Linked DNA regions of Oryctolagus cuniculus. The protein of the gene in region 1 binds, or shares a complex with, the protein of each later gene. Links are inferred from orthologs where the notes say so. Each region holds a gene or a part of one and is shown on either strand. Other genes may lie near its edges.

Region 1 (4,435 bases):
TGGTGAGGAAAAGCAGCCAATTCTGAGTCTGCAGAGAGAAAGGGGAAGCCGCTGGCTGGGCGGATACACAGCTATGCAGATGGCAGCCCATGGGCTTAGCTCATAATCCCAGAAGAACAGACAGAGGCAGAAGCAAGAAGGGACAGGTGTTCAAAGATGGACTAAGCCTCAGAAACTCATCCATTCCTTTATTATTATTATTATTGTTATTATTAGTCGTAGTCGTAGCAGTAGCAACTATTCGGTGCCTAGAAGGTTCCAGGCCCTGTTTCTGATGCTTGGGATAAGGAATAGAAGACAAATCAGGGGGCTGGCGCTGTGGCTTAATGGGTAAAGCTGTCGCCTGCAGTGTTGGCATCCCTTGCAGGCTCTGGTTCGAGTCCCGGCTGCTCCTCTTCCGATCCAGCTCTCTGCTGTGGCCTGGGAAAGCAGTAGAGGATGGCCCCAGTGCTTGGGCCCTCGCACCAGCGTGGGAGACCTGGAAGAAGCTCCTGGCTCCTGGCTTCAGATCAGCTCAGCTCCAGCTGTTACGGCCACTTGGGGAGTGAAGCAGTGGATGCAAGACCTCTCTCTCTCTCTCTCTCTCTCTGTAACTCTGACTTTCAAGGAAAAAAAATAAAAAAGACAAATGAACAGCTTCCCACAACGGGTGGGATTTCTCTCAAACAAATATATAATTTCTTTTTGTGCAAAACAAAAATAAGAAGCGGGCAGAGGACCGAGTGAATGTGACTGCGGCCTCGTCCAGCTGCAGTCCACTTACCACAGGGCAGATAGCCAGAGGCATGAGCCCAAGTCTGTGAGCTGAAGGCGGCAGGGGGCCTGCCCGTCCTCACTCTGGGTAGCTCTAACCAAGCCAGGGGGGTGGTGCGGCAGAGCCTCGAATCTACCTCTGCCTAGGCTGCCTCGGGGCTCCGGAGCTGGGCCAATCTCACGCTGAGAAGCTGCCCAGAGGGGTCCCCTGCCCGCCCCCGCGCAGCGCAGACCCAGGGTGGAGCATTGCAGAGAGGAGGCGGGACAAGTCAGGCCACGCCCCTTCCAGTGCCCCGCCCCCTGCACCTGGCGAGGCTGCCGAACACAGAGGCAGGCTGAGGCGCCCATTAGTCAGGACTCAGAACCACAGGGAGGAACAGCCGTGGCCATCGTGCCGTGGCCCCCGATTACACCTGAGGCACCTGCTCTACCTGAGCATCCAGCTCCTCCCTCTCGGTGCCATCATGACCTGAGACACGGGGGTCATGATGGGGGGCTGCACACCCAAGGAACCCACTCGCTGTGTGTCTCACAGACACACCCTCGCGGGCACGGCCTGCTCTGGCGGACCCTGAGGAGCACACAGCCAGCATCACTGCCCCTACGGTGACCGTTCACGTCACTCTTTCCCGGGCCGCCCAGACTTTCCGAGTCCCCAGGTCGCGGGAGCCTCTCACCGTCTTAGGGGCGTGATCTCTCGCGTCATGGAGCGGGTGATTCTCCTTCCTATTGGTGCTTCTCCACATGTGGGCGGGACCTACAGAAACCCACGTTCGTGATTTGCTGTCTCCCAGGCGGCCCCGTGACCCGGAAGCTCTGTTAGCCAACATGGCGGCGCCCAGCGGCGAGACGGAGCCGGGTCGCCGTTCGCGTCCCACAGCGTGAGTAGGTAGGTGGCGCGTGGGATTTGCTGGGTTCCAGGGAGTTCCACTTCGGGCCCGGCAGGGCGGGATGGCGAGCTCAGAAGGAGTCGGCGCTATAGAGCCAGGGCGCCATGACCTTTTGGGGTGGGGGGGGCGGGGACCTGACGGGAAAGGTTGTCTGCGAGGTGCCCCGCGGCCTGACGGTCCGAGTCTCCCGTTTTGTAGAAGACCTCTCGTTTGCATAGAGACCTGAACGGCCAGAGGCGGCTCCCCGGAGGAGGGAGAAGCAAGTGCGGAGTCTCTGGGACTGGAGGACACTTGGCCTTGGTTCAGAAGCAACGTACCGGGGGCCTGCATGCGGGTAAAGCTGGCCTGGGACTCCGCCATCCCAGGTGGCCACGGGTGTGTGTCCTGGCTGCTCCACTTTTTTTTTTTTTTTTTTTTTTTTAAGATTTATTTATTTATTTATTTGAAAGGCAGAATTACAGAGAAACAGAGAGAGGTCTTCCATCAGCTGGTTCACTCCCCAGTTGGCTGCATCGGCCAGAGCTGGGCTGATCTGGATCCAGGAGCCTGGAGCTCCACCCGGGTCTCCCACGCCGGTGCAGAGGCCCAAGGACTTGGGCCATCCTCCGCTGCTTTCCCAGGCCACAGCAGAGAGCTGGATCGCAAGTGGAGCAGCCGGGACTCGAACTGGGGCCCATATGGGATGCTGGCGCTGCAGGCCAGGGCTTTAACCCACTGCACCACAGTGCTGGGCCCTAATTTATACTAATGTATGGTGTTTTTGTTTTTGTTGTTGGTGGTGGTGTTTTTTGTTTGTTTTTTTGTTTTTTTTTATTTTTTATTTTATTTTATTTTTTTTTGACAGGCAGAGTGGACAGTGAGAGAGAGAGACAGAGAGAAAGGTCTTCCTTTGCCGTTGGTTCACCCTCCAATGGCCGCCGCGGCCGGCGCGCTGCGGCCGGCGCACCGCGCTGATCCGGTGGCAGGAGCCAGGAGCCAGGTGCTTTTCCTGGTCTCCCATGGGGTGCAGGGCCCAAGCACCTGGGCCATCCTCCACTGCACTCCCTGGCCACAGCAGAGAGCTGGCCTGGAAGAGGGGCAACCGGGACAGAATCCGGCGCCCCAACCGGGACTAGAACCCGGTGTGCCGGCGCCGCTAGGCGGAGGATTAGCCTAGTGAGCCGCGGCGCTGGTCTTGTTTTTTAAGATTTAATTTGCAAGGCAGAGTGTCAGAGAGAGAGAAAAATCTTCCATCCACCAGTCACTCCCCACATGGGTGGCAGGAACCAAGTACTTGGGCTGTCAGCTGGCGCCTCCCAGGTGCATGAACAGGGAGCTGGGTCTGATGTTCAGATTAGCCTGGACTCAGGCTGGCAATTTGATGATAGATGCTGCTGTCCCATCATTGGCTTAACCTGCGGTGCCACAGTGCCCCTAATGTGTGAGTGTGTGTGTTTTAAGATTTATTTGAAAGGCAGAGGCAGAGCGAGAGAGACAGAGAGACAGAGAGAGAGGTCCTCCATCTGCTGATTCACTCCCCACATGTCCGCAGCAGCTGGAGCTGAGCCAATTCAAAGCCAGGAGCTTCTTCATGTCTCCCACGCAGGTGCAGGGGCCCAAGGACTTGGGCCATCTTCCACTGCTTTCCCAGGCCACAGCAGAGAACTGGATGGGAAGTGGAGCAGCCGGGACTTGAACCTGTGACCGCATGGGATGCCAGTGCTGCAGGCAGCGGCTTGAGCTGCTACGCCACAGTTCCGGCCCCAAAATGAATATTTTTAAAAGCCTCCTCCATGGGGAGAACTGGCGAGAAGCTCATAAGGGCAGGAGCTCATAGATTGTAGAGGGGGAGAAATGGGTGCCTTTGCAGCTGGTCACCCAGGTCGGTCGATGGATTGTGTGGGCAGGGGCAGGGCACTCTGAACTGACTCCTCGGCGTGTGCCCTGAGCCACTGGCAGTGGTGGTGCCCTTGGCTTGGAGCCAGAGGAACACGTTCGCGCTGGCGTGTCCGTTTGGAGCTAGTTCGAGGGTGAGACGGCCGGGTGCGTGCCAGAGGGGCGGGTCAGTGTGGGAGCTGTCGCCACGTGGCTGGGTCAGGGCCAGGATTTTGTGTTTCTGGTAACCCTGCCTCCCAGGGTTTTAACAGGAAGCTGGGAGCAGAGCAGAGCTGGGACGCAAGCCCACGCACTGGCTTATGGGATGGCAGTGTCCCAACCCAGGGCTTACCTACCAGGCTGTGGAGTCAGGCATCAACCCCAGCTGCATATTAGGGCCATTAGGGTGCTTTAAATGCTGCTGCCTGGGCAGCTATGGTGCTGCAGGTGTAGCTGCTGCCTTGGGGGCGCCAGCGTCCCACACGGGGGTGCCTGGCTCCAGTCCCGGCTGCTCTGCTTCTGGTCCCGCTTCCTGCTGGTTGTGCACATCCTGGGAGGGGGCAGAGAAGGACTGAAGTACTTGAGTCCCTGCGATCCACGCCGGAGGCCCGGACACAGTTCTGAGCTCCTGGCTTTTGTAGGCATTTGGGGCAGTGAGAACCAGTGGATGCAAGAACGATCAATTGATCTCTCTCTCTCTCTCTCTCTCCCATTCTGCCTTTCAAGTACATAATTAAAAAAATAAAATCCTGATGCCTGGGCCCCCCTCCAGACAGTCTGCATATCTGGATGTGGCCCGGGTTTGGGGATTTTTCAGGGCTGCCAAAATGAGTCTAAAGGGAGCAGACTTTAAGAACCACTAGGGAAGACTTGTTTCTCTTCTATGGCATGAAGTGGTGTCCAGTTCAGAATTAAAAGTGAAGCCAGTTGAGGTCAGC
Region 2 (3,644 bases), on another chromosome or scaffold:
GCTGGAACTTCATTTGCAATTCCCATGTGTGTTGAGGGGCCCAAGTACCTGGGCTGTCTTCTGCTGCTTTTCCAGGCACATTAGCAGGGAGTTGGGTTGAAAGTGGAATAATCAGAACTCGAATCAGCACCCTTGTAAGATGCCAGCATTGCAAGCAATGGCTTAACCTGTTGTTCTGCACCACCCCTTGTCTGATTATTTCTTGAGTTTAAATACCACCAGGGGAATTACTGGGGCATGGGTCTGTGACCTTTGTCTTCTTAAGTGCCCTTGAGCTTTCTGGATCTCTGCAGGTGGCCATGAACATCCTCAACAGCGGGCGGTTCAGCATGGGCAGCACAGTGGCCGGGATGCTCAAGAGGTTGATTGGTAGGTAAGTGGGGGCCAGGGGCCCTCTGCTGCCCCACTGCAGCCTGGGAGACGGCCATCCCCTCCCTACTGTGCCCCCGGGGGATTGGTGTCTCCTCTGGGAAGCTTTGATGCCCAGCACCCCTTCCCCTTTGGGTGGCTGAGCTGGGCCACCTGGCTGGGTGGTCAGCACTGGTGGAGCATCTGATCCGTGGTTCAGAGCAAAGAAGGTCCTCCCCAGGGCTTGTATCTCAGCGTTCCTGTTTCTCCTGCACACAAAGGGCAGGGGCGAGGGAGGACGTCCTGGCAGGGGCAGGGAGGGGCTGCTGCTGTGACCCTCCCAGGTTCCCGTCCCAGAGGTGACTGGCCTGGGATCCTCCCCTGTCCCTCAGCTTGGATCTCCCTTTGTTCTTTGCTATCAGCACATGGAAAACCTACATTTTCGTTTGCCCATGAACTTAAAACAGCCCATCACCATTCTCATGGGATTGACTGCACGGAGCAGGTTGCTTAGGAACTGCGTGTTCCTTAGTGCACCGTACCTCTCGGTCAGGACAAGATGGACGCACACAGGCTTAGTCTGGGGTTTTCCTGCATGAGGCCTCTGCTTCCCCATCTGATAGACCCCTTAGTGTCCGAGTTGGGGCTTTCATGGTCAGCGTGTTCTCCAAAGGAGGCAGAACCTCTGAGGAATTCCCACAGCCCAGAAGCGTGCTGATGCAGGGACTCATGCTGAGACCTCTGGGAGACTGGATCACGCCTGTGGGAGCATTTGGCAGCAGCGGGGGGGGTTGCAGAGCTCAACTATATGCCTTCAAGCCCAGGCCCTCCTGCCGTGCACGTGAGTACCCGTGCCACGCCTGGGCCACTCCACCTCTGTGTGGCACTGTTGGCCCTAACTTTGTGCGAGGCATCCCTCACCTTCCATCTGGTTTCATCTTGGCAGCAACTCAGTAAGCCGGGCAGTGTTCAGGGAGATGAGCGTTTCGGCCGCCTCCTGCCTGCTGAGGATGGTGCAGGATTCTAACCCAGGTCCCTGACCACGGCCTACTGTAAGAGGGCTCTAGTTGTTGGGGTATTGGTCTCAGCAGACACCTGTCTCCCAGTTGCTGCCTGAGTGTCAGAAGGGTAATGGTGATAGCCTATGAGACCATGCTGGCCAACCAGAGATATTCTGGTTCTTTGTAACAACTCTGCTCTTCTGCAGAAATGACCGCTGAATATGCCTGCACGAGGAAGCAGTTCAACAAGAATCTCAGTGAATTCGGATTAATTCAGGTACTCATGCTCACGAGTGCTGTGCTTCTTGACTTCACTTTGTAGACACGCAAAGTGTGCTGTCTGCCCTCCCTGCACCTGTGACTCCCATGCGGGGCGTGCAAAGATGGCTGAATAAGGTTTGATGATGAGGTCCCTTCCTTTTATTTAAGCATGGGTGTAGTTCACTCTCCCCCACCCCTTCTTGCTCTGTGGTTGTTTTTTTTTTTTTGGAAAGAGTTATGGAGAGAGAGGGAGAGACAGAGAGAGAGGAGAGAGAGAGACCTTTCATCCAATGGTTCACTACCTGAATGGTCCTGGCTGAGCCAGGCTGAAGCTGAGAGCCTAGAACTCCATCTGGGTCTCCCATGTGGGTTCAGGTGCCCAAGCACTAGAGCCACTTTCTGCTGCATTTCCAAGTACATCAGTAAGGGGCTGCATATGAAATGGAGCAGCCAGGATATGACCCTGCTCGCATAAGGGACACTGACATTGTAGGTGGCGTCTTAACCCACACCACAGCGCCAGCCTGGGGCACGGCTCTCCTGAGCGGTGAGCCCTCTGACGTAAAGGCCTGCTCGGCTGATAGGCAGATTGGATCTCAGCTAAGCAGATGACTTGATGGGTGTGTGTGTGTGTGTTTAATCCTCCAGGAAAAGTTTGCACTGATGGCTCAGAAGGCCTACGTGATGGAAAGTATGTCCTACCTCACCGCGGGGATGCTGGACCAGCCCGGCTTCCCCGACTGCTCCATCGAGGCCGCCATGGTGAAGGTAATCCCGGCGTGAGAGCCCGGGAGCCGGTGCAGGAGGGACTCAGAAAGGCTCCGTCGCCTTGGCCTCCAACCGCGGGGCTGCCTCCTGCCTCCCTCCCGCCTCCCTCCTCTTGTCGGTTCACGGGCCAGCTCCCAGCGGGCTCGTGTTTACGACGCACCCCGGGGACCGCACCCCAGGGGTAGGCAGGCCCTGGGGTCGCGCAGGGGAGAAGCAGCAAAGCACAGGCCCGGCCGTGCGTCGGTTTGCAGGCAGCACGGTGCTCCCCAGGGCGGCGCGGGGCAGCTTTTCCAGAGGTCAGTGCTCAGCAGCAAGAGGAGACGTAGCCAGCCATTGCTGGGACGTCACAGCAGGGCGTGGGGCAGCGGGCTCGCTGGGAGGGACCATCTGTTCCCCCTACTTCCTGGTCCTGGGCTTCCTCGTGTGGGGTATTTGCAGTGGGAGATCCTGGGGCTTTCTGTTGGTGTTCGTAGGCAGGGCTCAGTGTCAGGTGGAATAAGTAAGATGGCTGCCCCACTTGGTTGCCCTGAATCATTCCCGCACTGGGCTCCGACTTGGGCTTGAGAGACTGGGTGGGAGACGCCCAGTGCAGGGCTCGCCCGGGCGGGGCAGGGCCTTCTCCCTGGAGGTCACACGGTTCCTGGCGCTCAGTGAGTCCCCTGTGGGTGAGTCTGTGTGTTGGTTGTGCCTCAGCCATCACCAGCGCCCACCCACGGAGGCTGTGCCTCTTCTGGGTGCCAAGCCTGGAGCTGAATCCGGCAGTGTCTCCTCCCCCAGTCGCTCGCGGTGTGGAGGGACAGAAACAGGGCCTGGCTGCCGGTGCGAGTGCAGAGGACGAGTCCCGGGTGGTGGGGCTGGTGCGGCTGGGCTTGCTGCACGAGGTGGAACCTTTCTTCAGTGGGAACTGAAAAACAGGAGCTGACGCAGGCATGGAGGCGGGCCCAGAGGTGTGGAAGGCCAGGGCAGGGATGGGCACCGCAGGCCGGTGGTGGGGTTGAGGAAGGCTGAGGACTTCCGGTCATGCAGCCAGTTCCTCCCTGGGTCAGTGTCATCCCAAAGCCCAGTCCGTCTCAGCCACCGCGCTGCTCCTGGTGCCTTGGCCGCTCTGCTGGGAAGGGATTGGGCCCCGGTGCCCCTGTGCTGACCTCTCCCTGGGTCCCTGCAGGTGTTCAGCTCAGAGGCCGCCTGGCAGTGCATCAGCGAGGCCCTGCAGATCCTCGGGGGTTCGGGTTACATGAAGGACTACCCGTACGAGCGCATGCTGCG
Region 3 (2,970 bases), on another chromosome or scaffold:
AGCCGGGACCCAAACTGGTGCCCATATGGGATGCTAGCACCGCAGGCAGCAGCTTTACCTGCTTCCCCACAGTGTCGGCCCCCACACTGTTTTATGTAATCCACATGACAGTTCTGATCAAGCAGAGCAAGTAGTATTGTCTCCTTTTTATAGATAGGCAGTCAAACTGAAGCAAGTTCAAGGACACTAAAAAATAAAAGTGTTACTGGAGAAAGAATAAACACATATGACCTCAGATTCTACTTCCTACTACATAAGTTTTGTGATATCGAGCAAGTCATTTAATCTGTGAACCTTAGTTGTGTTACCTCTGAATTAACCCTAATTGTACTTATCTCATAGAATTGCTGTGAGAATTAAAAGATACTGTACTGGGGCCGGTGCTGTGGCATAGCAGGTAAAGCTGCCACCTGCAGTGCTGGCATCCCATATGGGTGCTGGTTCAAGTCCCACTGTCCCACTTCTGATCCAGCTCTCTGCTATGGCCTGGGAAAGCAGTAGAAGATGGCTCAAGTCCTTGGACCCTTGCACCTGCGTGGGAGACCTGGAGGCAGCTCCTGGCTCTTGGCTTTGGATAGGCACAGCTCCAGCCATTGTGACCAATTGGGGAGTGAACCAGCGGATGGAAGACTCTCTCTCTCTCTCTCTCTCTCTCTGCCTCTCTGCCTGTCCTCTCTCTCTAACTCCAACTTTCAAATAAATAAATAAATCTTTAAAAAAAGATATTCTGGCTGGCACCGCGGCTCAATAGGCTAATCCTCTGCCTGCGGCGCCGGCACCCCGAGTTCTAGTCCCGGTCGGGGCGCTGGATTCTGTCCCGGTTGCTCCTCTTCCAGTCCAGCTCTCTGCTGTGGCCCGGGAGTGCAGTGGAGGATGGCCCAAGCGCTTGGGCCCTGCACCTGCAAGGGAGACCAGGAAAAACACCCGGCTCCTGGCTTCGGATCAGCACGGTGTGCAGGCGGCAGCACACCAGCCGCAGCGGCCATTGCGGGGTGAACCAACGGAAAAAGGAAGACCTTTCTCCCTGTCTCTCTCTCTCTCACTGTGCACTCTGCATGTCAAAAAATAAAAAATAAAAAAAAATTCTATGTTAAATGATATCTGTGTTAAATAGTATCTGTCACAAGTTTCACAGTAATTGCTGGAGCCTCTAGCCCCTGTTCATTCTTCAGGTCCCTGCTTAAATGTCTTCTGCAGAGAAACTTTCCCTGATTCCCTTAGTGTAAGTTAGGTTTCTAGATACATTCTCTAAACACTTTACTGTAAAATCCTTGTGTGCACTTAAATATCTGTCTGATTCTTTCTTCTGTGGTAGACCTGCCAGAGGTAAGAAATTGGATTGTCTTTGCACCATGGTATCCCTAGCACGTGCCTTTCATGTAGGAGACGATAAATGTATTAACTTGGATTTGGTCTGCTAGTTTAGTACTCAGATTCTTATGAAAATCCTTCTTCAACAACCATAAATGTAAGGGGTAATTCTCCAAATGATGAAGCACAATAAAAGCACTTTTAAAATGTGATTCATTTAGCTGGTTACATGCCATAGACTTTGAATTTCTAATATACTCTGTACTGTTTCACTGTGGTTGAAAATATTGTACATAACTTCTCTATGAGTCACCACACTATCTTCAAGGTTCTTATCCTGAGTTTTTTAAAGATAAACCAAATTTACTTTTGTTTTTCAGGTAACATAAGCAAGGAAAACTGTGTCCTTAGAAGTTCACTGGTTGGCATAGTATGTGGTATTTTATATCCCTCTAGTTTGGCTTTTTCTAAAAATGGACGCCTGGCAGTCAGGTAAGTCTGTTTGTTCCTTTTCTTCTTTCTATCAAAATGTATTAGTTCCGTGTTCCAAATAACTAATTTTGGGGTTTTTTTCTTTCTTGCATTTTTTTTCTTTTTTTTTTTTTTGCTATCTACCTTATAGACCTGTAGTGGAAATTATCAGTTTAGGTGAAATCAGTAAACTTGATAGAAGATATATTCAGGAGACGTGATTAACTCTTTTTCTTTTTCAGATATCATACAGTTCCACTGCCACCGAAAGGAAGGGTTTTACTCCATTGGATGCTGCTTTGTCAAACAGAGATAAAAGCAATGGTGATTCCTCTAGTCTTTCAGACAATGTTTGGAGTACTTATTGGTTTACAGCATTATTCACTGTTTGAAAAAACACTTGCAAAAACGGTACATGAAGATTAATCAAAGAATGGGTACTGATTCAGCAAAATGGTTTTTTTTTTATGATGAGTACTTGGATATTGTGGAAAAAATTGAAAGTCACTCTGGACAGAGAACTTGTCTCTGTTTCGCCTGCTATATTGCAGATACTTAATAAATATTCAGTAATTCAGTAAATGTAAAACAGTGTGAAATAATAATTTTCATCTTTCTTTCCTCATTAAATGCACAAAGCAGTTGGAGCCTCAGGTCTGATCTATGTAGTTATAAATTAATTCCTCAGGCCCTGTGTCACTTATTAATAAGAACTATTCCTTACCCAGAAGGAACTCTCAATTATAAGAAAAATAAACAGGTACACATAAAAGGTTTTATGAACTACACACATAATTTGTGGGAGCACTGAGAATGTGACTATCACTTAAGTAAAAAGGGAAGTTATGGGGAGAAAGTGCCAGTTGAGCCAAATTCTGAAGGAGAAATTGGAAGTTCATATGAAAGCAAGGTATGGAAATAACATACAACCCATTTCTCTCCAGGGTTGGAGAACATCTGGCCCTTGAGCTGTTTAACACCTGTAAAGTCAATAGGCCTGGACCTACCAAGGTAACCATCAGTAGGACTCAAAATTCAGTAACTCTATAGCTGGCTATTTTATTTATTTGAAAGAGTTACAAAAAGAGGTAGAAACAGAGAATGGTCTTCCATCTGATGGTTCACTTCCCAAATGGCTGCAACAGCTGGAGCTGAGCTGATCCAGAGCTAAGAGCCAGGAGCTGCTTC

What was found. The genes of interacting proteins can lie anywhere in the genome.
Region 2: the proteins of ECSIT (region 1) and ACAD9 are in contact, whole or in part, in a cryo-EM structure (PDB 8PHE), measured with the Homo sapiens proteins. The link is inferred for Oryctolagus cuniculus from reciprocal best matches to the Homo sapiens genes ECSIT and ACAD9. Residues at the interface, in NP_057665.2 of Homo sapiens: Pro321, Glu322, Glu323, Trp324, Asn325, Leu326, Tyr327, Tyr328, Pro329, Met330, Leu332, Asp333, Leu334; in NP_054768.2 of Homo sapiens: Leu180, Thr181, Asp188, Ala189, Ala190, Ser191, Ile192, Lys228, Lys239, Asp240, Lys241, Ile242, Phe293, Ala296, Met297, Leu300, Ile431, Met434, Tyr435, Leu438, Thr439, Leu441, Gln442, Gly445, Thr449, Leu516, Gly520, Lys521, Ile523, Met524.
Region 3: ECSIT (region 1) and TMEM126B share a complex: the UniProt entries of both Homo sapiens proteins name them as parts of the mitochondrial complex. The link is inferred for Oryctolagus cuniculus from reciprocal best matches to the Homo sapiens genes ECSIT and TMEM126B.

The regions. Positions count from the first base shown.
Region 1 is NC_091447.1:66,359,693-66,364,127, forward strand, and holds the start of ECSIT (evolutionarily conserved signaling intermediate in Toll pathway, mitochondrial), read left to right. Parts: upstream 1-1,533; 5' UTR 1,534-1,642; intron 1,643-1,841; exon of another isoform or gene 1,842-2,018; intron 2,019-4,435.
Region 2 is NC_091441.1:111,772,655-111,776,298, reverse strand, and holds part of ACAD9 (complex I assembly factor ACAD9, mitochondrial), read left to right. Parts: intron 1-293; coding exon 294-369; intron 370-1,555; coding exon 1,556-1,626; intron 1,627-2,258; coding exon 2,259-2,378; intron 2,379-3,543; coding exon 3,544-3,644. UniProt on the Homo sapiens protein: As part of the MCIA complex, primarily participates in the assembly of the mitochondrial complex I and therefore plays a role in oxidative phosphorylation.
Region 3 is NC_091432.1:76,714,055-76,717,024, forward strand, and holds the end of TMEM126B (complex I assembly factor TMEM126B, mitochondrial), read left to right. Parts: intron 1-1,691; coding exon 1,692-1,803; intron 1,804-2,024; coding exon 2,025-2,208; 3' UTR 2,209-2,371; downstream 2,372-2,970. UniProt on the Homo sapiens protein: As part of the MCIA complex, involved in the assembly of the mitochondrial complex I. Participates in constructing the membrane arm of complex I.